Oryctolagus cuniculus: one gene and its partner. The protein of the gene in region 1 purifies or fractionates together with the protein of each later gene. This does not show direct contact. Links are inferred from orthologs where the notes say so. Each region holds a gene or a part of one and is shown on either strand. Other genes may lie near its edges.

What was found.
Region 2: the proteins of LLGL2 (region 1) and PARD6B purify together in Homo sapiens (affinity purification with mass spectrometry; 7 studies listed by BioGRID and IntAct, counting the BioPlex papers as one, with this or other methods). This does not show direct contact. The link is inferred for Oryctolagus cuniculus from reciprocal best matches to the Homo sapiens genes LLGL2 and PARD6B.

What each region holds. Positions count from the first base shown.
Region 1 is NC_091448.1:5,045,227-5,060,533, forward strand, and holds the start of LLGL2 (LLGL scribble cell polarity complex component 2), read right to left. Parts: upstream 6,817-15,307; 5' UTR 6,664-6,816; intron 1-6,663. Other genes in the region: TSEN54 (tRNA-splicing endonuclease subunit Sen54), read right to left, coding at 7,853-8,003, 8,372-8,488, 8,773-8,833, 9,303-9,931, 10,075-10,176, 11,614-11,666, 12,756-12,854, 13,062-13,145 and 3 more. UniProt on the Homo sapiens protein: Part of a complex with GPSM2/LGN, PRKCI/aPKC and PARD6B/Par-6, which may ensure the correct organization and orientation of bipolar spindles for normal cell division.
Region 2 is NC_091442.1:10,156,356-10,171,481, reverse strand, and holds the start of PARD6B (partitioning defective 6 homolog beta), read left to right. Parts: upstream 1-6,629; 5' UTR 6,630-6,946; coding exon 6,947-7,012; intron 7,013-12,677; coding exon 12,678-12,900; intron 12,901-15,126. UniProt on the Homo sapiens protein: Adapter protein involved in asymmetrical cell division and cell polarization processes. Probably involved in formation of epithelial tight junctions.

The DNA of each region.
Region 1 (15,307 bases):
CAGCTTTGCCTCTCAGGAACCCGCGTGGATCAGCCAGGTCTGAAGGCCGGAGAGCCAAGCAAACAGGCAGGCGAAGCAGCTGCGAGACCTTGGGCTCGAGGGTTCTGACCCGGTGGGGCTGTCCAAGGCCGGCCTGGCAAATGCCCAGACTCCTCTCCAGTGCTCCTCCTACCGAGGGGCGTGGGAGAAGTGACTACCAACGCGGCAGTCACTGGGGACGCCGCGGGGCCACAGCACCACTCCTGGGGCTGCCCAAGAAACACCTTCTCTACCGCTGCCCTCGCCCCAGCTTCTCCCAGACCCCATCCCTGCCCGTGACGGCGTCTGTGTGACCCGACCACGTGTGTGACCCGACCACGTGTGTGACCCAACCAACAACCTCCGAGCCACCCTCCCCGCTCTCCCCCGCCTCAGTGTGCCGTCAGCGTGCTGAGCTGTGGCGGAGTCCTATTTGTTTTCCGGCTGCTGCTGACCCCTGCGGCTTCTGTGCCTGGGGCGTGGCAGTAGCCCGAAAGCTCCCTGTGGCCACTGGTCCCGCAACTTCCGTCTCTTCTCACCGCTTCCATCACCACCACTGGCGCCGGCGGGCACAACAGTCCCAGGGGCTCGGGCAGGTCCCCCACACCCTGACGCCCAGAGGCGGCATCCTCTCAGCGACAGGCCCTGCCTTCCTCCTCCATCCTCTGCCTGCCCCCACCTCATGCATCTCAAGAGCTCAGCAGAGATCACCGGCAGAGAGAGAGACCACCACAGAAGGGCGGGCCCACCTGGAGCCCCCTGCTCTAGGCAGAGGGCTGCTTGTGGAGGGAGGAGGGGGATGCCCGGGTCACAGTGCCCATCCCCCGCAGGCACTGCTGGGGCACCTGGGCTCAGCTGTCCCCATGAGTCCAAGGCTTGGTCAAGCCGAGCCCGTCCTTTCCTGCAGGTGTGGGAAGGGCCAGGAGGAGGGGGAGCGGGGAGGGAGGACTCCTGGGTCACAGTGCCCATCCCCCGCGGGCACTGCTGGGGCACCTGGGTTCAGCTTGGTCAAGCCGAGCCCGTCCTTTCCTGCAGGTGTGGGAAGGGCCAGCCCCCTACGAAGTCCCTTCACAGGTGCCGGGAGAGTCCGCACCCAGCTTCTGCCACAGCTCCCTCCCGCCCTCAGGAGCGCAGGGTGAGGAGTCCGGGCTGATTCAGAAGCTGCCCTCCCTTCCCCGACATCCTGTGCGAGGCCTGTGTGTGGCTTTGGCCTCCGGTGTGGCGGATGTGAGACCGCCCCTGCACCTCCTACCAACTGGAGCGGTGCAGCAGGGCTCGGAGCCACCGGGGCAGCTGCTGACCCCTCCAGCTCCTGCTGGCGCCAGCTCAGCGGCCTGTGTAGTCCCGGGAAGCCTGATGCCCCACCAGCAGCTTAGCAACCAAACCTCAATGCTTGCGGGCACCTGGTGGAGGTGGGGCAGAGGGCACTGTCACTGCTGTTAGGGATACAGGGACCCGGGGCTGAGGCCAGATGTCACTTTAGGGACACTGTGAGCATCATCTGGTTCTTACAACATTAGCTGTTTTCGAAATAACCAACCCGGAGTGGTAGCAAGCCCGGGCAGTTGGTGAGAACCTAGGTCTCAGTTGGAACTCATCTGTACAGCCCGTGTTGGGCTCAGTCCAGAGCCTCTCTCCTGGGACAAAGCAGTACCCTACAGGCTGGGTGAGCCTCTGTGGGGCCAGCTCCCAGCCCCACCAGCCATCCTACAGCCTGAGAGTCCCCTCCATGCATCCACCCCCACCCCCACCCCACCCCGCCCTGCCCTGTGCACGCCCAGACTGGGGGCTTCGGTCCTCTACTGTGAGACAACCTACCATGCTCTCCAGAGAGGCAGGTGACAGAAGTGGTCAAATACAAGGAAAAGCAAAACCATTCAGCGAGAAGATGGACAGTTTGCCTGGGGCCGAGGCAGGCAGGCTACCTAGGCCTGTCCAACTGAGCCCCATTCCCGGACCTTCTACTGCCCCAGAATCACAACAGCAGCCCCAGGGAGCTTCCAGAAGACGCCAGCTCCTGGAGGAGGGAGAGCCGCACTCTCCCATGGCTGCACTGCCAACGACCCACCCAGGTCCTCACACCAAGAACTCTGTCTTGAGTTTTGTTCAATGTTCCCTTCTTGCCGAGGCCCACTCTGACCCCTTTTTAATAGGTATTTTACTTGAAAGGTGTCATTACAGAGATCTTCCATCCACTGATTCACTCCCCAAATGGCCGCAATGGCCAAGGGTGGGCCAGGCCAAAGCCAGGAACTCCATCCGGGTCTCCCACGCGGATGCAGGGGCCCAGGCACTTGGGCCATCTTCCACTGCTTTCCCAGTTGCATTAGTAGGGAGCTGGATCAGAAGTGCAGCAGCCGGGACTCGAACCAGCACCCATACGGGATGCCGGCACTGTAGACAGGAGAGTGGTTTAACCTGCTGTGCCACAGTGCAGGCCCCTTGAACTCCTTTTAAAGCCGTAACCTGCTCCTACCAGGGAGTTCTCAAACCCAGCTCTAATTCTTACGCTATAGAGAATATCACCTTCTTTTAAAAACATTGTTTAAAAAATTCCTATTTATTCAAAAAAGAGTTACAGAGAAAGTGAGAGAGACATGGAGATCTTCCATCCACAAGTTCACTCCCCAAGTGGCCACAATGGCCAGGGCTGGGCCAGGCCAGAGCCAGGAACTCCATCTGGGCCTCCCATGTGAGTGGCAGGGGCCCAAGCAGGGAAGTGGAGCAGCTGGGACGTGAACCGGCGCCCACATGGGATGCCGGCACCGCAGGCAGCAGCTCAACCCGCCGCGCCACAGCGCTGGTCCCGCGTGTTACTCCACATCCCTCCTTCCCGTCTCCCTTTAGAGAGAAGGTTCCGTGACGGCAGAGACCTTTGCTTGGTTTCAGGATTAGGTTGCCTAGCACCACGCCAGGCACACAGCAGGCACAAATAAATACTTGTTCAGGGAGTGGACAGACAGGTGACTGCCCAGGGATGAACCAGGCACAGTCTTCTCCATCGCTGACCCCCCAGGACACGGAGATGCGTCTCTGGACTTGGCCAGGGTCATGGGGTCGCCACACCAGGCCTCCTGACCAGGACACACTGGTGGGCTGTGCCTCTGACCGGGGCTGCAGGACAGCCGCTCCCTGGCAAGACTCCGGGAGTGTGATTAAGTATCAGTGGCGCTTGCCAGACTCCAGGAGTCCCACGCCCGATGTCCCTCTCGTCAAACCCTGGAGCACTGGGTCTCTGCTGAATTCCTGAAACCTAGCAGCTCCCCTGTCCCCTCTCCTAGCTCAAGAATTCACCCCAGCTCCCAGCAAGAGAAGGCATGGCTCCTCCAAGTCCTGGTTTCCTTTGAGAGGCCCGGTGGGGAGAGGAGCCCACCCCAAAGGGAGCTGGGCAAAGCCCCTGGCCAGGCACAGCAAGGGAGGAGGGTCCCCTGGGGGAGGGGGCAGTGCTGGCGGCCCCACTGTGGAAGGTCCCCTTTCCTGTCCGGTACTGTGTCTCCCACAAAGTCGCCAGCCAGCAGGGCATGTCTGCCCGGACCCAGGAGCAGCCCCCACAGCCACAGGGCCCGAGTGAGGGCCCCATGGCGGGTGAGCCCAGGAAGCCCACAGCAGCCTCTATGGCCTCAACTCAGGTGCCTCAACAGCTGCTGCCAGCAGTCTCCAAGAGGGTTGGGTAAGCCCCTAGGAAACCCAGCCCTGGACACTCTCCAGCAGGATTGGGGGCAGGGGCTCCGGGCACCACTTTCTCTCCTGGAGGGAGGGGCTTGGGAAAGTGCTGGCAGGAGAGAACACCCCCTCCCCCAAATGAGGTTGAAAGGAGGCACTTGGAGCTCCCAGAAAAGCTTAATGGCAACAGAGCCACTCAGGAATGCGCTCCTCCCCCGGCCTGGGAGAGGCGGGCACGCAGGGACCCTCTGGCCAGAGCCTAGGGCAGATTAGGTTCTGCACCCTGGAAGGGCTCTAAGCTAAGTCTTCGATCAGCCCTCACTCCCGACTCTCCCACGGAGCAAGGGAAGTATCAAAGGCCACCGGAGCACAGGCCAAGAGAGGCCCCTGGCCTCTACCTCCGCGAGCCTCCTCACTGAAAAGCAGCGACCATGGGGCTGGCGCTGTGGCATAGTGGGTAAAGCCGCCGCCTGAAGTGCTAGCATCCCATATGGGCGCCGGTTCTAGTCCCGGCTGCTCCTCTTCCCATCCAGCTCTCTGCTATGGCCTGGGAAAGCAGAAGATGGCCCAAGTCCTTGGGCCCCTGCACCCAAGTGGGAGACCTGGAAGAAGCTCCTGGCTCCTGATCAGCTCAGCTCCAGCCACTGCAACCAACTGGGGGAGTGAACCAGCAGATGGAAGACCTCTCTCTACCCTTGTCTCTCCTCTCTGTGTAACTTTGACTTTCAAATAAAAAAGATTAAAAAAAAAAAAAAAGGAAAGGAAAGAAAGCAGCGACCTGCAGAGGCTTTGAAAGGTCACTAAATTGCAACCCCTCGGCCAGCCGGGGTCAAATTCACTTCGCCCCTCAGGTTCTTCCAAAAAACCCAGGACCAACCCAAAGATCTGAGCAACCAACGCTTTCGTTCAGGGAAGCCAAGATGTTCACCTTCCTCCCGTGCCTGCTATGCACCCAGCCACACTTGTCCATGATGCGTCCCATCTTCTCGGCAACAGTGACAGGCGCCACAACAGGCTCAGGTGACCCAAGGTCGGTCCCCAGCAAGCACTCCACAGGCCTGGCTTCAAACCGCACCGGGGGCCAGCCTGTGCCGCGGCAGCTAAGAGCTGCTTGGGTTGGCCTGCATGCCCAGCAGTGTGCTACGGCGCACCCTGGGCGGCAGCAGGTGACGGCTCACGTACTACAGTGCCTACCACTCACGCGGGAGACCCACACGGAGTTCCGGGCTCCTGGCTTCAGCCTGGCCCCGCCCCCCTGTTGTGGGCATTTGGGGAGACTCAGGTCTTTGTCTCTGCCTTGCAAATTAAAAATTTTCCATCTTCACGCCTCCTAAGATGTTTGATGCTTTCCCCCCTACTCTGGCCTCTCCGTTATTTAAAACAATGGGGGTCACCTGGGATTCTGGGCCTCATTTTCTTTTTATTTACTTGACAGGTAGAGTTACAGTGAGGGAGAGAAAGGTCTTCCTTCCATTGGTTCATCTCCCAAATGGCCACAACGGCCAGAGCTGCGCCAATCTGAAGCCAGGAGCCAGGTTCCTCTTCCTGGTCTCCCATGCGGGTGCAGGGCCCAAGCACTTGGGCCATCCTCCACTGCCCTCCCAGGCCACAGCAGCGAGCTGGACTGGAAGAGGAGCAACCAGGACTAGAACCCGGCACCCCAACCGAGACTAGAACCCAGTGCCCATAAGGGATGCCGGTGCCGCAGGTGGAGGATTAGCCAAGTGAGCCACGGTGCCCCCCCCTTCTTTCAATACCGTGTCTACTCAGAGATTATTAGAATTAAGTTATATCCACCTGTCACTGATGGGACCCTCTTTCCTCAAGGAAGACCAGGGCCGCAGCGTCACTGAGGCACCTGGGGCCCCGGAAAGAGCGTCCAGGGGCCCACACAGACGGAGCCAGGCTAACCTCAGAGGCCAGGAGGGGGCTTTGGTCAGAGCCTCAATGACTGCTGGCACCATGGGGAGTTCCAAAGCTGACGAATCTCCCACGACCTTCCCAGCGCCTGGCACACACCCAGACCTTTCCCTCAAAAGCCACGCCAAGCTCGGGCTCCCAGGCGCTGGCCCCAGCCCATCGCGGCAGCTGTTCTTCCTACCTGGGTTTCCTGGTCACCCCGACACACCCGTTCCCTCCCAGTTCCCTCCCCGCTCCGAATCCCCTGTGCGGAGTGACAGGCGTCTCCCGAGCCCAGGTTGGGGCGGCCTGCACCTGCAAGTGGAGCCGCTGGGGAGGGGGGGCTGGGGGCCGAGTGTAAGCCCCGCCCTCCTCACCCAAGGCTCACCTGTCTCAGGTGAGAGCCTCAAAGGGCCACACCTGCTGTCCTGGTTACAGTCGCGGCCAGCCACCGGAGTGGCCACCAGCCGTCCAGCACACCAAGGCACACTTCCCTCGGCAAGAATTTTCCACCGCTCGCCACGTCCCGCCGCGCACCCCCCCCACTCGCCGGCGTGCAAAGCGGGGCGGGGGCCGTCGCCTACAGGTGTCCGAAGGTGCGCGGCGCCGAGAGAGGCCCCGAGGCCGAAGTCCCTCCCGCCGGCTTCCTGCGCCCGAGGATTAGGACGCACAAAGGGCCGGCCGGAGGCAGCCCAGATGGCAGGGCTAAGCCTCCGAGGGAGCGCGCTCCAGCCGCCGCCCGCGCAGAAGGGGCGCCCGGAGGCGCGCGCCCTGCACGTGGGTCCGGGGTCCCCGGCCCCGCTCGCGCACGGAGCCCCCCGCACCCACTCGGGCGGGCACCTGCTCCCCCGCTCTCAAAGGCCACCACTGTCGCGCAAACCGCGCTCGCTCGCCGCGGGCGGGTCTGACGGAAAAGTTCCCGGCGGCACTTCCCACAGGTGTCCGTCTCCCAGGCGAGCCGAGCGACCCGGGCGAGGGCCAGGCGGGCGGCCCCGCGCGCAGCCCTCCCCGCCCGCGCCTCGCCGCCCCGCCCGGGGGTCTCGGCCCGCCGCCCGCCCAGTGGGGTCCGTGCGGCCGCCTCACCTGCAACCCGGGCCGGCCCCGCCCGAGGCCTCGGCGTCCCCCGGCGCCGCTCCGCTGGCTCCGCGCGCCGGCCCACGGGCTGCTGGGCGGCCGTCGCTTCCTGCTCACCTCCGGCGCGGCCGGCCCGGGGGCGGAGCGGCCGCTATTTACATAAAGGGCGAGCCGGCCCGCCGCGGGGGCCGCCTCCCCGCCCCGCCCCCCAGCCTGCGCCGGCGGGGCGGGGGCGCAGGGGCGCCCTCGGGGGCGGGGGCCGCGCTCCGGCCAATCCGCGGCCCCGGGGAGCGCGGGGGCGGGGCGCGCCCGGCCCGCCCCGGCTCACCTGCGCGCACCTGGCCGCAGGACAGCACGCCGCGCCCAGTGCCCCGCCGCCTCCTGGAAGAGGAAATAGTTCCCGGAACGCCTGCCAGCCAGACCGGAGGGGCCCCGCGGGCGGCTCCTCCCGAGGGTGCGAGCCCTGGAGACCGCGGTGGACGCTGGGCCGGGCCTCGCCCTCCCGCACCGCGCAGAGGAGTGGTGCTGGGGGCGAGGCCTTCCCTGGGGTGGGCCCCAAACCAGGACCCTCCTCCGTGTCCACTGCGGAGGCCAGCAGCGGCGGGAGTTTCTAGCTCAAGCCAGGGAGAGGATTGGAGAGGCGGGAGCCGAAGGGCTAGAACTGCGCCCCCCGCAGCAGCTGGCAGACCCCCGGGGCGCAGCGTCAAACTAAACCGACCCGGCGCCTCCCGGCCACCCTTGTGTCCTGAGCCGCCCCGCTCTGGTGAAGAGAGGCCCTCCCTCCCTCCGCCGCCCCAAAGCGCGCGCCTCCCAGTGAGTGGCCAAACAGGAGAGGCTGGGGGTCTGTCCGGCATATCCAACCACGCACAAAAATAAAGAGATCCGTTTTTAATGGCTTTGGCTTTATGGCAAGAAGCAGGCACCCTCTCGTTAAAGGCACAGAGTCCTCTCTTCTGGGCCCCCTCCTCTGCCCGGGTCTGAGTTCCGAAGGGGTCCCTGCAAGGCGGCGATCCCGGGTGCGGGCGTTGGCAGCGTGCAGCGGCCAGGCAGGGAGGAGGGGAGTGGTGTCAGGCACCAGGGCCAAGGTCCAGACCACAGGTCAGAGTCCAGGCCCGGGAGGCCGCTGGATGGTCCCTGAGAACAGACAGTCCAGGTCTCCCCAGGGCAGGCTGCAGCCCCTCCGCCCCCAGCCGCGTGGTCAGTGCTCCAGGTCCCTGGGCAGCGTGAAGTCCCTGAAGCTGTAGAAGGAGATGTCGCCATGGTCCACCAGCGCGAAGAGCAGGGGGACGTCCCCGCTCTGGTAGGACAAGCGCTTGAGGCTGCAGAGGTCGGGGACCGGCTCATCGAACCTGCACGGACAAGGGCTGCTCTCAGACCTGACCATCCTGGGCTCTGAGCCCCTCCCAGGCTCCCAGGCAAGGAAGATGGGGGCCAGGGGTGGGGGAGCAAGAATTCTAGCATCTGGGCTCTTCTGCCTGCAAACTGGACACCGGGGAGCCCCCAGCCCTGGGTCTGCAGGGGGCCGGAAGAGAATTCTGAGCCCTGTGCCCACGAACCCCACCGACCTACATCCCTTCTGCTGCACAGGGACCAACGCAGGGGAGAAAGACCTTGTGTGGGCCACTAAACCTCTCCGGACTTCAGCTTCCTCTCAGGCCATCGGCACCCTGGCCAGAGAGCTGGCAGCAGCCTGGGGCGGTGCTCGCCCGGCTCGTACCCGCTAATGCACATCCGGGCATAGGGTTTGCCAGGGTTGTTCTTCCGGAACGTGGCCACGGCGTCAGCCTGGTAAACATCAAAGCTGATCTCCAGGTCCCCGGCCTTGCCCTGCAGCCTGCGGAGATGGGAAACCTCAGGACACAGACTGTCCCCGTCACCCTTCCTGCCCACCACCAGTTCCAGGAAGCCGTGTCCTCTAAGGGGAGGGGCTCCCGACTCCCAGGTTAAACCCACCTGGCGTTGCTCCCCGTGCCCTGGCCGTGAATGGGTACCAGCTGTGGCACGTGGGCAGGGGTCCCTGGCAGGCTCCTCCAGCTCACAACCAACCGCAGGAGCTACATCCCGGCCGCCTACCCCCCAGGGCAAGCAGGGTACCGCGAGCACAGCTCGGACACTCACCGAGCGCCTCCGTCAGCCAGGTGCGCTGTCTGCAGCACAGAGATGTGGTGAAGCACGGCGGCTGCGGAGAGCAAGAGCCAGGGGTGGGCAGGCGGCCAGTCACCCGCGCTCCCGCCATTTCTGCGTCTGCCACCCCCTTTTCCCGGTTAGATTTTCAGTACCTCCGAACCTGTTCATGTGTTTAGCTCAGACCATTCTGGCCCCATTAGGGCCCCGTGCTCAAAATTAAGAGCACAGAGCAAGCCTTCCTCTACCTCCTTGTTCTGCCAAGAGGCGGGAGGAGAGAGGACCACAGCTCACCGGGGGCAGAGGCGCCCACGTCACCGTTTGTGGTTTCAAGGACCGCTTGGCCTGACACACCGCCTCTCCCCCTTGCCGTGCGGGCCCTCTGCTGCCACCCGAGGATCTGGCTGTCCCTGTGGGCTCCTCTATCTTGTGCCTCAACCAGACCTGGCCACTCCACACCCCTTCGGAATCCTGACTCCTCAGCCGTCAGAAGCCTGCCGGGCTGTAGCCGGGGGAGAGGGTACCTGGAGAGTCCGCCTGGCCAGGGCTCAGCAGCGGGGTGACGGGCTGGCCCCACAGGTGCGGCGGCCGGCTCTGGCTCCTCTCCCGGTGCCGCCTCTGCAGCAGCTCCTTGTACGCCCGCCAGCCGGAGCAGCGCCGCACCTCGGGGTCCGCGTTCACGTCCTCCCGGAAGTGCCGCGCCTCCACCTGCTGCTCCCGCTCCCTCTGGGACAGCTTCTCCTTCCGCTGGTTCAATTGCTGGCACCAGGAGCCGGCATCTGTGTCCCGCCCCGCAACATTGGCGGGGAGCAGCTCTGGGGCCGGGGCTGGCAGGAGGGTGTGGCGGCTGTCTGGCGCCATGTTGGGGAAGGAGATCTGGGAGAAGTCCCAGCGCGGCTTAGCAGCCCCCGTGACCCCATTCTCCACGTGGCCGCTCTGCCGGCTGCACCCCATCCCCTCCCCGGCCAGGCCAGGGCAGGGCTCCAGGGACCCCGGAAGAGGAAAGGGGCTGGCTGGGCCCTGTCCTGGGCTCAACTCCTGGGGTTTCTCCTCCACACGTGGGCCGTGCTGGCTGTAGGAAGGAGGGCCGGAGGCCGCCAGGATCTCAGGCTGCAGGGAGTCGTCCGGCGCCTTGGCCTTCTTACTCACGGACCTGAGGGACGCGGGAAAAGCAGTGCATCTGCTCCGGTGGCTGAGCTGCACTCGGCCCCTGGTGTTGCCCTGAGCCTATGTGCCGCCGCCCGAGGCCGGCTCTAAGGCTGAGCCCTCCCAGGTGGCCTTGGGGGGGAGCACTACCGAGAGCTCGAACTCCTCCTCTTCTTCTTGCCAGGACCGTCCTCCAAGAGCTGGGCGCTGCCATCCAAGTTCAGCTGCCTCTCGTATGGGGACAGGACAGAGCTGTGGGTGACAACGGTGGGGGCTGCCTCTCGTAAGGGGACAGGACAGAGCTGTGGGGTGACAATGGTGGGGGCTGCCTCTCGTAAGGGGACAGGACAGAGCTGGGGGTGACAACGGTGGGGGCTGCCTCTCATAAGGGGACAGGACAGAGCTGTGGGGTGACAATGGTGGGGGCTGCCTCTCGTAAGGGGACAGGACAGAGCTGTGGGGTGACAACGGTGGGGGCTGCCTCTCGTATGGGGACAGGACAGAGCTGTGGGGTGACAACCGTGGGGGCTGGGGACAACAGCTCCACCTCTGCACCCTGATGCCCAAGCGGGACTGGTCAGGGCCCCGGACGGATCTGCACAAGGGGTCCACAGAGGGAGTCCACAGACGCCCCCAGGCCTCTGGAGTTAGGACTCCCAGAGTCAGCAATAAGTGATTTATCACTGGTGAGAAAAACCACATAGAGCCAGAAGGCTTGGAAAATACAGAAAAATTAAAATGAAAACTAAAAGCTCTACCAGCCTCATATGTATACACTAACCTTGCTCCATGCTTTTTTTTTCTGACAAAAATGGCAATGCACCAACAAAATGCTTTGCAATCCCTTTTTTTTGTTTGTTTAATAATATTACTACGAACATGACCCCTTATCACTACAGCCACTGGCCACAAGTAGCTATTTAAGTTCAATTTAAATCAGTCAAAATGACTCAGTGCCATGGCTGCACAGGTCATGTCCGGTGCACAGACAGGACATGCTCACAGAAAGTCCGAGTGGACGTCCTGCTCTGAGGGACGCACTCCTGGTAATCCGCCTGCACTTGCTGAACACACAGACCTCCAAGCACACCGACTCGGAGTTCCCGGGGAAGTGCCAGCTCTGCAGGGCCGTGATTTTGCCGTTTCCAGAAACGGACCCAGGGCCTGGCACCGGCCAGTGGTCAGCGAGTGCTAGTGCACGAACAGTGTGGCGTGCGCACATCCGCGCTACTTCTCTAGGCCAGACCGCACCCTTAGGGAGTAAAGGATGCGTCTCTTCAGGTTTTCACGACATACCGTCAAAGTCTGAGGCTCTTAGCAACGCTGGATTCTAAGGTGACAGAGAACACCCACCCTCGCACGAGTCACGTGAAACCTCACAACTGTGAATTCCTTACTTGGTCCTTACTCGGCAAATCTGCCCCCACACCTCCCAGGAGCCAGGCGCAGTCCCACCCTGCATCCCAGGACACACAGTGAGCTGCGGGGCTCAGTGGTCGCCTGACGACCCAGGACAAAGCACAAGGACGGGACCTGTCCCCACGAGCCCTCCACAGAGCACTTCCACCTCGGGCCCCTGGTCCACGTCCAGGGAGCTGCGCTCTAGGTGCAGGGCCACTTTCCTCCTGAGGCTCACTGGCCAGGTCCCGGGACGGGAATGAGCGGGAGGGCGAAGGCACAGGGACTGACCTTGGATGGAACCGTCGAACCACGTAGCCCAGTCTCTTCAGGTGGCTGAAGACCTCGGAGGTTAAAAAAGAAAAAGGAAGAAAAGCTCAGATACCCACTCTTTAACACACGAAAGAGTTTCTGCAGATACAAGATTTCCTGCACCCCTTCCACTCCTCTCCTGGACACCCCCAGACTTCCAAGCCTGGGATTGGCTGGACCACACGCCATCGCACACGCCCCCAAAGCAAGGTCTGTCCCTCCAGTACCTGTCCTTTCCCGGGCCTTACTCTGGGCACGAGTGACACGCAGCAATTTCTAGGCTTACGTGCAAGTTCCAAAAAGCTGGTAGCAACGGATGCAGCAAAGAACCGTGCCCACACCCACGGTGCCAGACGCGGGTGAGAACCGTCTCTGTGTCGCGTCTCCTGCCCCCGTATCACAGGGACGAATCGGGGCGTCTCCCCCACCCTGCCTGGCCTCTCAGCAAAGGGAAACGCAGCTCAGCCCTCCTCCCTGACTTCTCCTGCGCCCCTGGACATTCTCGGTCCACTCCTGTTCCCCGTCTTTCCCTAACCGCCCCAGGTCCCAGGCCCCGCGCTCTCCTCTGGCCACGTGCTCCTGTGCCCACGCGTGTCCCTCGCCTTAACCTCTCCCCACACTCTCGGCCTCTGCCCAGCTCCCTGCGTGAATGTCCAACAGGCACCTCGAAATGAACGTTTCTGACACCCAGCTCTTCTGACCCACCCCAGCCTCCCGCGTCCGCTCCCCTCCCCGGTTTCCCCAGCTAGAAAACAATGTCACCGCTGTTCAGCCATCAAATCACGGGCCTGACCCTCAATTCTCTTCTTCAACCCTGACGTCCAGTCCATCGGCGAAGTCCCGTCCCTTCTTCCTCCAACTCATTTTTGAGGTCTGTCCACTTCCTGTCCCTCCCTGCTAGCCGGCCACACCAACACCCCAGGCCAAACATCTCTGCCTTCTTTCACCTGGATGAACATCCCAGACTCTCGCTTCTCCCCACAACGTCCCTGTCACTATCCAGCTGCCAGCAGGAGGGCCTGGGCCTCCCTGGTCTGTGCCAGGCGTAGCCCAGGCACAGGGCCTGGCTCCCCACTGGCCAACACTCACGGGCTCAGCGGGTGGCTGAGGGTGGCAGGTACCTGGTACTTGAGGAAGGCCACAGGGTCCTGGGCCAGCAGCAGCTGGTACGCCTCCTGGATGGACAGCGGCAGGTCTTGGTGGAACAGCTGGATGGAGCCCTGGAAGTGCGGCCGGAGCTCAGCCCAGGGGAGCAACCTCCTGCCTCCAGTGGCACCGGCGCTCCCACCGAGAGGACGGCAAGCACGCGGCTGCCCCCCAGGACGGCGGGCAGGCTGCCCGGCCCCCTGCACCTGCACTAGCCACCCGGCCGCACCGCTAGAAACCGCGCCCCCCACTCCTCCCTTCCCGCCCCGGGCCCCACTCACACACTCCAGCAGGTACAGGGCCTCTTCGGGGTGAAGCCGCTGCCGGCCCTGCTCCGAGAAGCCCATGGTCTGCCAGAATTTACCCTGCGTGGGAGCCGGAGCCAGGGTCACCCAGGGGCCAGGCGGGCGCGGGTCCCCCTGCCCCGGGGCGCCCCGCTCACCGCAGGGGACGTCAGCTCCACGAAGCCCTCTTCCGCTCTCCACTCGGCGGCCACCAAGCTGCCCCTGCCGGGCGGCGGGGACTCGTGGGTCTCGGGCCGCCCGCGAGTGCCCGCGCGCCCTCCCGCCCGCCGCCCGCCCCGGGCGCGCCCGCCCCCTCACACGCGCTCCACGCGCTCCTCGGCCAGCAGTCCCCACAGCTCCTCGCGACACCGGCGCAGGCGCTTGGCCTGGGCCGCCGAGCCGTCGGGGACGAAGTCCTTGGGGCCATGCGACCGCTGGGGCAGCTTCTGGGGCCGCGAGCGGGCGGCGAGCAGTTCCCGGGCGCTGGGGGAGCAGAGGACGCGCCGTCAGCGCCGCGCGGCCGGGGCCCGCGTGCCCCTAGCCGCGCCCGCCCCGCAGCCTGCCCGCCCCACGGCGAACCTCAGCACGCGCCCCGCGGGCACCTCCACGGTCGCGGGCTCCGGCTCCGGCTCCGGCTCCATGCAGCCGCCGAGTGCGCCTGCGCGCGCCCCGCCCCGCGCCGGCACTCCGCGCGGCCCTAGCGCCCGCGGATTCCCCCGCGCCGCCTCCCAGGACCCGCCGGACTCCCGGCTGTGCTGGGTCCTAGCGCCGGCCCGACCCCACGTGCCGGGACTCCCTGGGCTAGGGAGTTGAGCTTGCAGGTTTCTGGGCGCGCAGGACCCCTCGGAGCTCCCTTCGAGTGACACCTGAGCGATGGGCGTCCGGAAGAGCTGCGTGGCTAGTCACACGTGGGACCCTCCCCTCCGCGGCCCTGCGCTGCTCTGGGCAAGTAGGGGAGGGGGCTCCAGGGACCGAGCGCTTTGCAAACCAAGGGTGGTCTGGGGCGGTCCGGGGAGGTTCGGGGTTCTTGCTGGCTCTTGGGCCCCTTTCAGGGGAGCGCTGAGGCCCGTTCCCGCGGGTGGGGGGCGCTGTCCGGCCCACGATGGTGCTGAAGCGCCGCCCCAGTCCTCCTGCGGCACCTCCTCAAGGGTGGGGTCCCCGCGGCCGCCCCGTGGGCCGCGCCGGCACCGTCCGCTAGGTGGCACCATTGCTCCGGCCAGCGGCTGTGGGTCCCCGACTCCGCGCGCGGAGGTCGCCGCGGGAGCCCCCGCGAGGGGCGAGGGGCGTGGAGGAACAGGACTCCCCAAGGAGGGTCCTGCGACCTCGCCGGCCACACCCCGGGCAGCTCCTCCTGGAGTCTGGATCCTACAGCCCCGTGTCGCCCCGGCTGCACAGCCCAGACGCAGCGGCGCGAAGGCTCGCCCCCAGTCCCCCCGCTGCGGTTCACCTGCGCGCATGCGCCGATCCAGCCGGCGCCCCGGGTCCGGACTGGCGCGACGGGGGCGGGGCCGGCGCGCTGGGGGCGGGGCCGCGGGCGCTGACTGACAGCCCGACTGCGCGGCCGGGACGGTCCCTCCGCTCCCGATCCGGCGGGAGGGGGGAGGGGCGGGATTTCCTGCGGGAGGCGCTGAGCCGGCCGTGGCAAAGGAGGAGAAAGGGGGCAGGGGCGCCGCGGGAGCCAGCGTCCCGAGTGCCAGGGGCCGAGCGGGGCCAGCCGGACCCCCGGCGGGGCGGCGGGGGAGAGGTGAGCCTGCGGGACGGGGCTGGGGTCGGCACCCTCGGGGGCGGGCACTAACTAACTTTTCGTGCGGGAGCGGCGGGCGCCCGTGCTCTGCGCGCCCCCCGCGCGCCCCCTCTTTTCCGTCCTCCCGCATCTGCCTCCCGGTGCCTCCCGCCGCTTTGTTCCCGGGGCAGGGCCGGGCTCGGCCGGGGGCTGCGGCGCTGGAGGGGCATTCCGGGGGGCGGGGGAGCCGGCCGGACCCTGGGCACTGCCCGCCGCGCCTTCCCCGCCCTGGCGCGGGCCGCGGGCCCCGAGGCGGGTGCCCTGGGCTTGGGCTCGGCGCGCGTGGGGAGTGAGGGGCTCCCGGCCGGGGCCCCCAGGCCTTCGCGGGTCTCCTGCCGCAAGTCTCTGGCAGCAAACTCGCCGCCACTGAGGAACTGACGTAAGCCTTTCTGCGGAGAAGCCGAGGGTCCGGGCGTCGGGTTCAGGCTGGGGGGTGGGCGCGGGAGCCCCAGGGGCCGGC
Region 2 (15,126 bases), on another chromosome or scaffold:
CCCACACTCACTGCGGCGCGAGGGGCGCGTCCCCGGCCATGTCCCCTGTGGGCCCACCCCCCAACTTCCCTACCCTGGCTCCCGGCTCCGTGGCCCCTGGAGCACGTCTCCTCCCCGGTGTAGCCCGGCCTCCGGAGGCCTCGCCCCTCGCCCCTCGCCTCACCAGCACTCGCTGCGCCCCCGCCCCGCGCCTGCCCTGCTCCGCGGTCTGGAATGCCCCTGCCCGCACACTCCCCCTCATTCCTCAGCACCGAAGCTTGTGGGCCTCCCCCGAGGCCTCAGCGTTCCCGCTCCGCCCCCAGCCGCAGAGCCCTGAGTAAGAGCTGAAAACAGCGTCATGCCCCCGCGCCCTGCACCGCGCCAGGCGCCGGGGCGCCCTGGGTTCAGCCCTCCGCCCACCAACGCGGGCCAGGGCGGCTGCTCTCTCACCTCCACCTGCCCCCAGGCCGGTGGCTGTTCTCACTCACAAACCATTTATTGTAATGAATTAAGGCAATTGTCCCTCCTTCGTGGAATCTCAGCTCCAAGAGGGCAAGGACTTTGTATTTTTTTTCCTAAAGATTTATTTATTTATTTGAAAGCCAGAGAGAGAGAGAGAGAGAGAGAGAGAGAGAGAGAGAGGAGAGAGAGAGAGGAGAGAGATGTCTTCATTTGCTGGCTCACTTCCCAAGTGGCCGCAATGGCCCGAGCTGGGCCTGCCTGCAGCCAGGAGCTTCTTCCGGGTCTCCCACGCGGGTGCAGGCCCAGCACTTGAGCCGTCCTCTGCTCATCAGCAGAGAGCTGAACCCGCAGTGTGGCAGCTGGGGCTCAAACTGGAAGCCGCGTGGGATGCCAGTGTCGCAGGTGGCCGTTTAAGCCGCTGTGCTACAACGCTGGCCCCAGACTTTGTATGTTTAAAAACATTTTATGTATTTGAGAGGCAAAGAGGCAGTCAGAGCTGCCTATTAGCTTGATCTCAAATGTTTGCAACAGCCCGGGCTGGGCCAGGCTGAGGCCAGGAGCCAAGAACTCCAACCGGGGCACCCACGTGAGTGGCAGGAGCCCGTGTACTTGCCCGCTGCCTCCCAGGGATGGTAATTCGCCAGAAGCTTGAATGGGGAGCAAAGCTGGGATTTGAACCCAGGTATTCCGATATGGGATGCGAGAGTCCCAACTCATGTTTTAACCACCCGGCCAAACGTGGGCCCTGGCTTTTGTCTTTTTAAATCAGTGTTTCCTTCACTGCCCGGCACATAACAGGCCCTCAGTGAACACAGTCAAGTCACAGGCAGTGGACAGGATTGCTCTCCTCAATTCCCACCCCAGGCAGGCACCATGCGGTCTGCAGCCCGAGATCCACAGGCCGCTGGGACCAGATGCCAGCTGCAGCGCCCCCTCTGGGACAGCTGCAGCTCTGTCCCGGGGGCCTGACTGCTCAGCCGGACTGGCGGCAAGCACTCTGCTGTGTCCACATTCGTCCACCAGGTGCTGAGGGCCGGCTGACCCCTTCCATCTGTGGACTCTGAGGGACCGGCTGGCAGCGCCCACAGCCTCACTCTTTGGTTACTATCCTGTCCTCTAACTCACGCCAAGCACATACAGTTGGCACTTAATAAATACCCGGCACATTCAAGAATTCTACTATGGCAATAAGTGATTAAAATCATTAGACAGCAATAATGGGACATTTATGGAGTCCTTACTCTGGGCTGGGACCCACCCTAAGCACTCTGTATGTGAATTAAGACAATTAATTATCTTTATTTTACAGACGAAACAGAGGAGCCAAGAGCTTGCCCGAGGTCACACGGCCAGGAAGCAGCAGAGGCAGGACTTGGCTGTGGGTATGTGGCCTGAGTCTGCCCCTAACGACCACTCTAGGCTGCCTCCCGGCTCCTCTGAGAGGTGTGTGAAAACAGGAAGAATGGCTCATTGCATGTTTGCATTTTATGTCAAGGAATTCCTTCCCAAGCCTTGGTAGACCACCGTGTTTGTAAGGAGTAAGTACTGAGAGGTCCCTGGCATTCTGTGGGCTGAGCCCGTGGGTTCAATCTGAGCCAGACATGGCAGTCTGCTTTTACGGAGAGAACTCCAAGGCTCTGAGTAGTCAGGGAACAGGCTCGAGGCCACTCAGCCATCAAGGAGCAGAGCAAGGACCCACACGAACATCCATCAGCTGACAAGGCACGACCCGGAGCGGGTGCTCTGGCACGGAGGGTAGGTCACTGCTTGGGTCACCTGCGTCCCAATCAGAGTGCCCGCTGCAAGTCCCAGCTACTCTACTTCCTATCCAACTTCCTGCTAACACACGTCCTGGGAGGCAGCAGGTGACGGCCCAAGAGCACCCGGGTCCCTGCCGCCCACGTGGGAGACCTAGATTGAGTTCTGGGGCTCCTGGCTTCAGCCTGGCCCACCCCTGGCTGTTGCAGCCATTTGGGGAGCTAACCAGTGGATGGATGATCTCTGTTTTCTTTGTCTCTCTCTGGGACTCTCTGCCTTTCAAATGCAATTAAAATAAACACTTAAAAAAAAATCATCAAAAGAAAAAAAATTCTGGGGGCCAGCCAGCATTGTGGCAAAACTGGCATCCTATATCAGAGTGCCAGTTGTAGTCCCAGCTGTTGGTTTCTGATCCAACTCCCTGCTAATGTGCCCAGGAAGGCAGAAGATGGCCCAGGCTTGGGCCCCTGCCACCCACATTGGAAACCAGGTGGAGTTTCTGGCTCCTGGCTTCAGCCTGGCCCACCCCTGGCTGTCACAGCCATTTGGGGAGTGAACCAACAGATGGGAAAATCTCTGTATCTCTCCTTCTCTTTCTATTACTTTGCATTTAAAAAAAAAGTAAAAAAAAAAAAACAAAACAAAACAAAACAAAAAAAAAACAGTGCCTCCAGAAATAAAGCTCAAAGCTCCTTCATGCAACTGAAAATTTAATGAGCTAAGGGTTGGCGTTGTGGCACAGCAGGTCCACATCCCATATCCGAGCGGCTAGTTCCTGTGACTCCAGCTTCCAATCCACCTTCGTGCTAAAGTGTGTGGGAGGCAGCAGATGCTGGCCCAGGTACTTGGAGTTTCTGCCACCCACGTGCAAGACCTGGATGGAATTTCTGGCTCGTGGCTTTGGCCTGATCCAGCCCTGGCTTGTGGGCATTTGTGGAGTGAACCAGCAGACGGAAGATCTGTTATTCTGCCTTTCAAGTAAATAAACAAATAAATCCAAAAAATGAAAAAAAAAAAAAGCGTTTAGGGGCCGGCACTGTGGTACAGCAGATTGAGCAGCTGTTGGCCCATAGGAGCGCTGGTTCGTGTCCAGCTGCTCCACTTCCGAGCCAGCTCCCTGCTGATGTGCCTGGGAAGGTCCAGCACTAGGGCCCCTGCCACCCATGTGGGAGCTTCAGATGGAGTCTGGTTTCTTGGTTTTACCCCGGCCCAGGCCTGGCCATTGTGGCCATTTGAGGGATGAACCAGTGGATGGAAGATTCCAATCTCTATCTCTCCCTTTCTTACTGAAACTCAGCCTTTAAAAAAAAAAGTTTAAAAAAAAAAGTTTCTAAAAACATCAAGTAAGTTAGTCCATGGAAAAGCACCGAGCACCGTTCCTGGCACCTGCGAGGCCTGTGTGTCCATCACTGACTCCACCAGTGCCTCCCGGGCTGCAGACTCCGACCGGAAGACCACTCTCTCCACCGCAGCCCGCGGCCGGGAACGCTGGGCTAACGATCGATCTGCACTTCCCCTGGGGAACCGTAGACCACTCACAGCTGGAAGGAACCGCGGCGATGATCTCATCCCTGCCTGCATTTTTAGATGCGGAATCGAGTCCCAGAGAGGAAAAAGGTCAGACAGCAAACTCATGGCCGGACCAAGCCAAGGGCAAGGTTAGGCACGGTGCCTGGCACATGCAGCCCCCCAGGAGGGCAGCCTTTGACTGAAAGGCTGCAGGAAATCCTCCCCACGTTTCCCTGGTGTGGGCGCCACGGCTCCGGCCCCGCCACAAAGCAATCAAGTATGATAAGCTATTAACCAGAAAGCAGGTCATGTGACTTCATTCCACCTCTGCTAAAGGGCTTAAAATGCTTGGGTGAATAGCCCGAGATTCATAAATATCCACTTCGGCGCTTTCTCGAAGAATTATTAACCAGCTCCCTCAAAACTGGAGCTTGGGCGTTCAAGGAGAAAAAGAGCTGGCGAGAGTGATTCCTTGGAAAAATGTCTCCGAGCATCGTCTGGGACGTCTTGCCGCTCTCCTGATGTTTGGAGGAAGGAGAGGAGGGAGAGAGAGAAAGAGAGAAAGAGAGAGAGAGAGAGCGAGAGAGAGCAAGGCATCGCCATGCAGGATGTCAGCTGAGAAAGCTGGCGGTGGAAGATGACAAACTTTCTCCACCTGGCGAGCTAGATGTCGCGGGTGGGGGGGGGGTGCGGAACTTAGAGAACTCTGGGAAAGAGTAAGGCAGAGCCCAGCCCCGATTCCTTCAGACCTCGGGCGGGTAAGAAGCTTGACCGGGGCGTGAGCATCTCCGGAGCCTGGTCCTGCGCAAGGATGGTGTGGACCTGTCCACCACCTGCCTTACTGGAGCCCCGGTCACCCTCCCAGGCGTGGAGCTGGCTTTCCTTTGCACACGGGGAGGTCTGGATCAGCTTTAACGGGAGGATTTGGGGGCGGGGAGAAAGAAGATTAGGGCCAGTCTTCAAACAGCAGAGCAGGGACAGAAATCCCTCTCTGAGCCACGCCTCTGGGCTTCGTGCTTCTCAGCGGAGGCTGAAACACAGGCCTGGTGAGCCTCAGGCCCCACGGCTGTGAGAAGCCGCCGCCGGCCCCTCTATCACTTTGGAACCTCTTCCCTCATTCCTCCCTTGCACAACCCAGGCGCCCGGGGATGGGTGATGCAGGCCTCCAGAGCCAGCTCCTCTCGGGATCCAGAAAGGAAAGTCCAAGAGAAGAGGGAGGCCACGCCCGGGGGAGGGGGATGTGACGCCACCTCCAGGAATGCGGGCCCACGCAGGTGCGTTGGCACCCGGGAACTTCCTTCTCAAAAGCCCTGATAAATCAGCACTGCTAGCAATAAAGCTCCGTCACCCCGCGGTGGCTCAGCGCTGCGGCCCTGCTCCCAGGGCAGGGAGGGCGAGAGCTGAGAACGCAGAATCCCAGGCGACCGAGCCTGGTCCAGCGGCCATCACAGTGCACGCCTGGGCGCCCCAGGCCGTCCTGGGGGGTTGCCACGCCACATGCTCACGACGCCCAGGTGTTGCGCCTTGCTTCCCAGCCCACCGTGGGGTTTTCCAGAAGGAACACGGCACGTGATGACATCACGGATGGCAGCTGGAGCGCGTGCTGCAGACGCGTCTCTCTCAATGCCGTGAGCACGGACAGACCTGACACACACGAACACGCTTTGGGCCCCTCTGCAGTAGTCTAGGGGGCTCTTGAGACCAAACAAGCCGAGAGCAGAGCCCCCGAACGAAGGCGAAGGGCGAGTTTCGCCTGCAGCTGCCCCTGGCCACGCGGGCGCCGAGCGGCACAGGTGTTTTCCCGCGGGGTGAAGAGGGCGGCCCTGCTCAGCGTGGGGCGGTTTCCACCTGCGCTTCCGCCCGGGCGGACCCACGGCTCCGGGGAGAGGAATTCCTCACCTTTGGACCCGGCTGGCCAGCAGACACCTCCCCGTCAGCTGGGCACCCGCCAGGGCGCGGCTCGGGAGGGGGCGGGGCCCGGGAGGGGGCTGGGGTCTAGGGGCGGAGGTCCCGAGGACGCAGGAGCAGCAGCACCCCAGGCATCTGCTCGCACAGGAGGGGGTCTCCACGGCATGCAGGGAGCCCCTTCGCAGGGCGGCAGGGCCCGGGGCTCCCGTCCGCGCCCCCCCAGGGCCCAGGCTAAGCGGGATCCGGAAACCCTGCGTGGACCCCCCCCCCGGCGCCTCAGGCCCCCTCGCTCCCCCCACCGACCCCTGGGGACCCGACGGACGGGTGGGGGCGGGCTGCAGCCGCCTCCCGCAGAGCCCAGCCCACGGAGCCGAGGCGCTCCCTCAGATAAGCGCGCAGAGGCGAAAAACCTGAATTTTGCGCACGAGAGTTGCAGCGGGACCCTAAAAACACGAAAGGGTGGGGAAGGGGGCGTTGTGAAGGGCGACACAACCCAAAGTCACAGCAGGGCGGGGGCCGAGCAAGCCACTCGGTGCCTCGGCCACCGATACGGCCGCGCGCCCAGTCCCCCGCACCGAGCGAGTGACCAGCGCGCGCCGAGCTGCGCCAGCCCAAGCGGCACCAAGTCCCGCGGCGCGCGCCCGCGCGTGCGCAGAAGGCACACCCGCCGGACTCCCTCCTCAGGTGCGCTTGCGCTTCCGGCCGGCCTTCTCTGGGCGGAAACTCGAGCTCCTGCGCATGCGCTCTCCAGCTCTCTGGCGGGGTCCAGAGAGGCGGCCCCGGGCTTCAGGTAATCCCGCCCCTCCCCCGCCGCGCGGGACCAATCGTGCGGCGGCGGGCGGGACTTTGTCGAGGGAGGCCCGCCCATGCGCCCCGCGAGTCGTGTTTCGATTGGTTGGCGCCGCGGGCGCAGGTGCGCGCTTCCTATTGGGTGTGGGCGGAGCGCGAGCGGCCGAGGCTGCTCCGGAGGCTGCAGGTGAGCGCGCGCACGCGCCGCGGCTCTGGCCCGGCTCGGGCGCGCGCGCGCGGGCCCGCGGGGGAGGTGGCCGAGAGCGAGGCTGCGGCGCTGGGAGCCTGCGCTCCGCCCTCTCCTCCTCCGCCGCCGCCGCCGCCGCGGGCCCGCAGGCAGGGAGCAGCGTCCGCGCCCGCCGCGCCGCCAGTGCGCCCCTCCGTCCCGCCGCGTGAGCAGCCCGCCCCTCTGCAGGTGCCTGCGCGGAGCGCCCGGGCCGCGGCCGCCCTCCGAACCCGCGCGCCCCGCCGCGCACTCGCTCCCCGCGCGCCCGAGGGGCGGCCGGTGCCGACGAGGCCGCCGCGGGGCCCGGCGCTCGACATGAACCGCAGCCACCGGCACGGGGCGGGCAGCGGCTGCCTGGGCACCATGGAGGTGAAGAGCAAGGTGCGCGGGGCCGGCCTGGGCGGAGCGGCGGTCGGGAGGCCGGGCGCCGGGGGAGGCCGCGGGCCGAGCCTCGGGGGCCCGCGAGGGCGGGGTGGGGGCGCCGGCTTCTGGTTTCCGAGGTGGGAGCCGTGGGGCGCCCTGTCCGGGGCAGGGCCGGAGGCGCCCGGTCCCCCCGTTCGGGTTCGAGGGGGCGAGCGCCCTTTGGGTTGCTTTGCTCCCGGCCGGGCGGATTCCTGGGGAGCCCTGGAGCGCGTTTCGTCTGCGGATCAGCACCGGCACCCGCAGCGCGTGCGCTGGGGTCTCCGCGCCGCCGTCCGCTGCCCGGGTTCCGAGCTGGGCCCTGCTGGCGGCCCGGGAGTCTCGCAGGCCCCGGTCCCGGAGGCGGGCGGCAGGTGAGCAGGTGGGCTCCGCGGGCTGCGCCTGCCGCGGCTCGGCGCTCCTGAGCGAGAATAATCCAGGCCCTGGGCCGTGCCAGCCGCGGCGGCTCGGAGAGACCCGGCGAGGCCGGAGCGCGTTGGAGGAGAACAGCGGATCGGCTTCCACAGTCGCGAAGCCGCGTGGACGGAAGGGGGCCGGGGGCACGGGGCCGGGGGGCGCCCGGCGGTCCCGATGGAAGCGGGCCGGGGGCGCGGGGCCGGGGGGCGCCCGGCGGTCCTGACGGAAGGGGCCGGGGTCGGGGGGCGCCCGGCGGTCCCGATGGAAGGGGGCCGGGGGCGCGGGGCCGGGGGGCGCCCGGCGGTCCTGACGGAAGGGGCCGGGGTCGGGGGGCGCCCGGCGGTCCCGATGGAAGGGGGCCGGGGGCGCGGGGCCGGGGGGCGCCCGGCGGTCCTGACGGAAGGGGCCGGGGCGCGCGGCGGTCCCGTCCCGCGGCTCTGCGCGGCTCTGCAGCCGGGACGCGGCGGGACGATGGTGTTTGGGCCGGGCCGGGGTGGCTGCTGGTCTCGGCCACCGTCCTGTCGGGGGAGTGCGGTTGTGATCGCGGCGCGGCCTCCGTGGGCCCCGGCGGAGCAGGGCAGGGATTCACATCTCGGGTTTGTGGGAGTTGAGGTCAAGAAAAGGCACTTGTGATATTGCATCACTCAAAATTCCGCTTCCAGGCCGACCTTGGTAGCAAGTGGCAGGGAAAAAATGAGTGGAGCTAGTAGGTGCGCTGCTGAAAGAAAGCAAACATTTCCTCCCGGCGCGGGCTGGCATGCCAGGCTCTCGCCGCCTCCTGTCAGCTGACTTGAGAATCTCCCACATACCTGAGGCCCAAACCGGGTGTTAGGTGTTGGCCTGCCGGCGTCCCGAGGCCTGCGCCGGCCACGAGGTGGAATCGGGGCGGCCTGAGACCAGGCGCCGGGAACTGTGGTCCCGCGAGGATGGGCAGAGCAGTGAGGGCCCCGGCCACCCGTGCCCCTGCTTCTCGATGTCTGTTGTTGATGTGTTTACTTCTGAATGGGTTGAATAAGCTGTTTGTCCTCTTAAAAACCTCTGCTGCGGGAGATTTTTGAAGCACATTTTGCTTTGGTGCTGCTTCGGCTTTCTGGGCTCCTGGGGCAGCCGTGGCTGCGGGCTTGGAGCCAGCACTGGAGAGCAGGCGGAGCCGTCTCAGGGTCCTCGGCCCCTGCCTGGACATCAGTAGTGTCGGCCGGATTACCTTGGCCTGGGAAGGGAAGAATGGTTACAGGTAATCAACATAGTGGACAGTGTCAACAAGCTGGTTGAATTCGTGATACCAGAAACCACGTGGCTTTTCTTTGGTAACTGATTTATCTCCCTAATTGTTTCTCTAGAGTTGGGGAAGTTCTCAGTACTGATGGAGGTGCCCTTTAGTAACCTTGGGACAGTCTTGGAGCCGGAACAGTTCCTAATTACTCACAGGCGAATAGGACATTAAAATTAAGTTGTCATTTCTAAAATGTGCCAGCAGATAGTGGGGGGCGGGAGTCTGACACATTGTGAATGGCTGGGAGGAACCAGGCCGGTTAAACAAAGCTGTGAATGGGTCCTGGAGTGGGGAATGGTTGCTTGAGTCTTGAGTCTGTCTCTTGGCAGCTCTCTTCGTGTGGTAAAAAGTTCTCTACCCTCTTGTTCTGCTGCAGGAAGCGTGACAGTTTCTCTAGTGTGTTTCCCCTGCCAGCATTTACAGAGGGCATATCTGACTTTGAAGCCATAGGGTTTCCCACTATTTTTATCAAATGAGTTAAGCAAGAGAAAAAGGTTGTTGAGCAAAGAATTCTCATCCACACACTCGAGCCGAAGCAGTGAAGCCCCCGAAACGTTAACCTCTCAGCTGTCGTTCCGGGTGGTGAGTCAGGCTGAGTGATAACCCGGAGACGAATCAGGACGCAGCGGCCGCCTGTGCTGTGATGCCAGCCAGGGAATGGGGGAGAAACTGTGACTTCTGATAACATCATAGACTGGCTGATAGGAAGGGTGTTCCCTGAGTTTTTATTTGCTTTGAAACATGAAGGTGTGACCGAACTTTTTGAGAGCTTTGGATATGAGTCACCTTATTTTCTTGATGAATATTAGTGTTTATATTTCAGGAATGTGTTTTGCAAACTTTTATTTATCAGCAGCAAGAGGTGGTTTGGGTGAGTTCTAATTTTAACGTAAACCTGGTGAGTGGTGTTTAGGGCATAAGCAGAGCTGATGGGCTTTTCTGTAAAGCAGACAGTGCATCCAGATACCCAGTAAGGCCTCTGGGGAGCTGATTCAGCATGTTTATGCACTTCCAAAATGGCTAGGATTGGGGCTTTCTCTGCCTGATGCTACTGAGGTTGAGCTCCTACTATGTATTTCTTGCTAACAATATCAGATGTTTCCAAGGAAAACGAGTCCTGCGGTCAAACACCTGACCGTGGTGTTGACACCTATGTAGACTGTAGAGTGACAGGTGTCTGGTGTTGACACCTTGTAGACTGTAGAGTGACAGGTGACCATGGTGTTGACACCTTGTAGACTGTAGGGTGATAGCTGACCATGGTGTTGACATCTTGTAGACTGTAGAGTGACAGGTGACCATGGTGTTGGCACCTTGTAGACTGTAGAGTGATAGGTGTCTGGTGTTGACACCTTGTAGACAGTAGAGTGACAGGTGTCAGTGGTATTGACACCTTGTAGACTCTAGAGTGACAGGTGTCTGGTGTTGACACCTTGTAGACTGTAGAGTGACAGGTGACCATGGTGTTGACACCTTGTAGACTGTAGGGTGATAGCTGACCATGGTGTTGACATCTTGTAGACTGTAGAGTGACAGGTGACCATGGTGTTGACACCTTGTAGACTGTAGGGTGATAGCTGACCATGGTGTTGACACCTTGTAGACTGTAGAGTGACAGGTATCTGGTGTTGACACCTTGTAGACAGTAGAGTGACAGGTGTCAGTGGTATTGACACCTTGTAGACTCTAGAGTGACAGGTGTCTGGTGTTGAAACCTTGTAGACTGTAGAGTGACAGATGACCGTGGTATTGACACCTTGTAGGCTGTAGAGTAACAGGTAACAGTGGTGTTGAAACCTTGTACACTGTAGAGTGACAGGTGTCAGTGGTGTTCAAACCTTGTAGACTATAGAGCTGACAGGTGTCAGTGTGTTGAAACATTGTAGATTATAGAGTGACAGGTGACTGTGGTATTGAAACATAGATTGTAGACTGACAGGTGACTATGGTGTTTTTTTTTTTTATTTTTTTTTTTTGACAGGCAGAGTGGACAGTGAGAGAGACAGAGAAAGGTCTTCCTTTGCCGTCGGTTCACCCTCCAATAGCCACCGCGGCCGGTGCGCTGCGGCTGGCGCACCGCGCTGATCCGATGTCAGGAGCCAGGTGCTTCTCCTGGTCTCCCAAGGGGTGCAGGGCCCAAGCACTTGGGCCATCCTCCACTGCACTCCCTGGCCACAGCAGAGAGCTGGCCTGGAAGAGGGGCAACCGGGACAGAATCCGGCACCCCAACCGGGACTAGAACCCAGTGTGCCGGCGCCGCTAGGCGGAGGATTAGCCTAGTGAGCCGCAGCGCCGGTGACTATGGTGTTGAAACCTTGTAGACTGTAGAGTCACAGGTGTGCTGGGCTGCATCCGGAGAGCAGCGGTGGCCGTCCTGTGCGAGCCCCGGCAGCGGTGGCTGTCCTGTGGGAGCCCCGGCGGTGGTGGCCGTCCTGTGAGCCCCAGTAGCGGTGGCCGTCCTGGGAGCCCCGGCGGTGGTGGCCGTCCTGTGCAAGCCCTGGCAGCGGTGGCCGTCCTGTGGGAGCCCCTCACTCAGCTCCACTCCCCGTCGTGTGGGAAGCTGGTTCCGCTACCTTAGGCTCCCACCCCTGAGGAAGTGCCCTGTGAGGCCCACAGAGCTGTAAACCCTGCGTCTGGTGGCTGTGAGGAGGCCGCTACTGGCTGCTGACCAGGAGCCACTGCAGGACCGGGGCCGGAGTGGAGGGAAGCAGAGCTGAGCCCCAGAGCTGGCGTGTGTGGTCCTCGCTGCCTCCCTCCAGTAATCATGCTTTGTAGACAAGAACGTGGTCTTAATTCATTTCCTTTTTAAAGACTTATCTATGTGAAAGGGAGAGCAGAGCGAGGGAGCCGCAGAGAGGTCCTCCATCCGTGGGTCACTCTGAATGGCTGCAATGGCTGGGGCTGGGCCAGACCAAAGCCAGGAGCCAGGAGCTCCATCTGGGTCTCCCGCGTGGGTGCAGGAGTCCAAGCACTTGGGCCGTCCTCCAGTGCCTTCCCCGGCGCATTAGCAAGGCGCTGGATCAGAAGTGGAGCTCAAACTGGTGCCCATATGGGATACTGGTGTCTCAACCTGTTGCACCGCCACACCAGCCCCTAAAATTTTTTTGAGATAAGATTTTTAGTTTTCACTGTAGTCGAAGCCCTAATAGCTCTATAGAGAGTGTGACAGATAAGAAGTGGAGAGACGGTAGCGCAGTCCAGCAGGAGAAGCGGCAGGGCTGTACACAGTGGGTGAGAAGACGCGGAGCCTCACGCATCCGGGTTTTAAGTCACAGCATCATTGAAACTATAGCAGCATCATTGCTGTCAGTTTGGCAACAACTTAAACGAAGTTGGACAGTGTATTTGCAGCAAGACTGATCCACACGGGCCTTTTGTTTTGTGTTGTGTTGTGGGACTGGGAAGCTTTGTAGCGGGCCGAGGCCTCCCTCTCCAGGGCCTATGGGCCCAGTGGCGCTGTCTGCGTCGTCATAGAGAGGGTGCTGCGTCCTGCTGGGCCTCTGTCCGCAAGCACGCGCTCAGTGGCCTTGTTCCTGTGCGTCTGCTGATTCCTGCCCCATCCCGGGAGATTAGGTCCTCTGATGGACTTGGAGGCCGTGGCTGGAGGGCGGGAGGCAGACTTGAGCCCTCCTTTCGTGCCCTCTGACCTGAGTGGGGGGAGTCCGGGCTGCACGCAGGGTTTGCTTGAGCTGAGTCATGCCCGGGGCAGGACGTCCCCAGGGAGGCCTGGGTAGCTCAGGGGTGGAGCTGGGTCTCTGGGGGGAGTGCAGTGGGGAGGCGCCCCTGCAGGGTTTATCTCCCGATGGTATTTCCCCGCCCCTCCCCCTCCCTGTCGTGTGTCAGACACCGTCCTGGTGAAGGAGATACGGTTATGCCTGCTGATTTTTCTGTGGTGTGCATTGTCGTCTTATGTTTACTCAGAATTAACACTTCATGCCTTGCGTGTTACACTTTTAGTTTGGAGCCGAATTTCGTCGATTTTCACTGGAAAGATCGAAACCCGGGAAGTTTGAGGAGTTTTACGGGTTGCTGCAGCACGTTCACAAGATCCCCAACGTCGACGTGCTGGTGGGCTACGCGGACGTGCACGGGGACTTACTGCCCATCAACAACGACGACAACTACCACAAAGCCGTGTCCACGGCCAACCCCCTGCTGAGGATTTTCATCCAGAAGAAGGGTGAGTGCGCTGCTGAGGTCTTCCCGGTGGCGGAGAGAACATTTCCTGCGGTGGCCGGCAAGCAGGTCCAGGCGTTTGTGACACTGCTGGTTCACTAAGTGTCTGCGCTTCCCCGGGTGTCCTCCGCCCGTGTGTGTGTGTGTGCATGCGTGTGTGTGTGTGTGTGTGTGCGTGTGTGTGTGTGTGTGTGTGCATGTGCGCACGCGGGGATTAGGGCTTTATCACTTCACTTTGTTGCCTGTAGGGAGCCTGGGGGAGGAGAGCTGGGGCTGGCAGCACGGGGGTTGGGAGGCCGGCGCCGGGCGAGCTCTGTGCGCCTAGCACGCAATCGCTGCGTCTCGTGCACGTCCGCGTCGTCAGCTCTGGAGTGGTTCCTCCTCTCTCTCTCGGCCGGGGCGTTCCTCCTAGAAGTGGTGCGGAATTAGCTGCCTACCCGAAATGAGGTGGCCCGGCTCCGGAGGGTGTAAACGCTGACCTTAGTCCCTGGCGGGGCCCGGCAGGCGTGTTCCCTGGCCCTGTGTGTGCTGCCTGCAGACGGGCGGGGGAGAATCTTGGCACTGGGGTCAAGGGTGAGGGGTGGGCAGCCAGCCCGAGGGCACTGCGCCCGTGATGAGACCACTGCAGTCTGGCAGTGTTTGTAAACCGACCCGGGGATCGCGTGGGGATTATCCTTGACGCTGAGACCTTCTTTCTCGTCCTTGATAAGCTTGTGCCACGCCCAGGGCTTTGCCACTGGCCGACTGGGTGTCTGCTTTTCTGGATTTGCAGAAATAAGCCCACCAACAAAGCAGACCTCTCAGAGTGGCTCTCTCTGTCCCTGGCCTGTTTATAGAAAACACGCTCTCACACACACACAATTAATTTCCCCGAGACCCCTGGGAAGGACATACCTGGCATTTAACAGGGGTGTGGTGGAGCCAGAGTATAATTGTAGGAAGGTTGATTTGTCTGTTCAGGAGGGGTGGGGGGGCAGAGGTCAAGGGAGCTGCAGTGGGAAGAGGGGAGGGAGGGCGGGAGCGAGCACCAGCCGGCTGCCTGCGGGCGTCCAGCGGAGCCCGGCTTCGTGGTTCTGAGCCCCGTGGCGGGGTTGGCGTCGGGAGCAGAGCGCGGACGAGAGCAGTGGAATTGGGAAAGAAGAGTGCAGGTTCAGTCCCGGGACGAGCCATCTTCTCAGGCTGGGGCGCTGAGCCCCGTGTGCAGGGGCCTGGGACTCGGGTGGGAACCTGGCCACCAGCACTCCTGCAGTTCCGAGCAGGCGAGCGGGCAGCAGGGCAGCTATGTGTGGAATGCTGGGGAGGGGCAGGCCCAGGAGGGAGTCTGAGGTGGCCGTGGGGGGCAGCTGCCTTTGTGTGATGGCTGTAGCTCTGTTCCACGTGGGGCTGCTGCGTGGCTCGCTTTTCAAACTACAAGCACCTGACGCAATGTTGTTGGGTACTCCCTTTGTTAGAGAGATGGTGAGAGTGGGTTTGGCCACCAGTGTTTTCTTACTGGAATGGTGACACGTGTGTGCTCGCGGGGTTAACCCTGGCCTCTTACAAGGGTAATGATCTTCTGCTGTTTCCTGTTAGGGTTTTTCTTTACTGTGTGGTATAATTTTTATTGAATTTTCAATTTTTTTTAAAGATTTATCTATGTATTTGTAAGTCAGAATTAGAGAGAGAAAGAGAGAGAGAGGTCTTCCATCTGCTGGTTTACTCCCCAGATGGTTGCAATGGGCGGGGCGGGGCCAGGCTGAAGCCAGGAGCTTCCTCTGGGCCGCCCACATGGATGCAGGGTCCCAACCTCCCTGGCCATCTGCCACTGCTTTCCCAGGTGCATCAGCAGGGAGCGGGATCAGAAGTGGAGCAGCTGGGACTCGAACCAGCACCCATATGGGAAGCCGGTGCTGCAGATGGCAGCCTAACACACAGTACCGGCCCTAGACTTCTGGATGCTTTCGTGAGGGTCCTTGAAAAAGTCTGTGCAAAAATGGAATGAGAGAGAACTATTTTGCTGCAGGAGGTTTTTGAGATCTGTGCGGTTTTCCGTAATGGCATTTCCATGGACCTCTGATGTTTCTGTGAGAACAGATGCTTTCATTCCCTGTGGCGAAGATAAAGTCTCAGGACAGGTACAGATGTGACTGCGGCCGGACACAGGGTTTGTCAGCCGGCTCAGTCCTGCTGGGGCTGGTGCTGTGGCTCAGTCGATTCGGCCGCAGCTAGGAGGCCAGCATCCTGTGCCAGT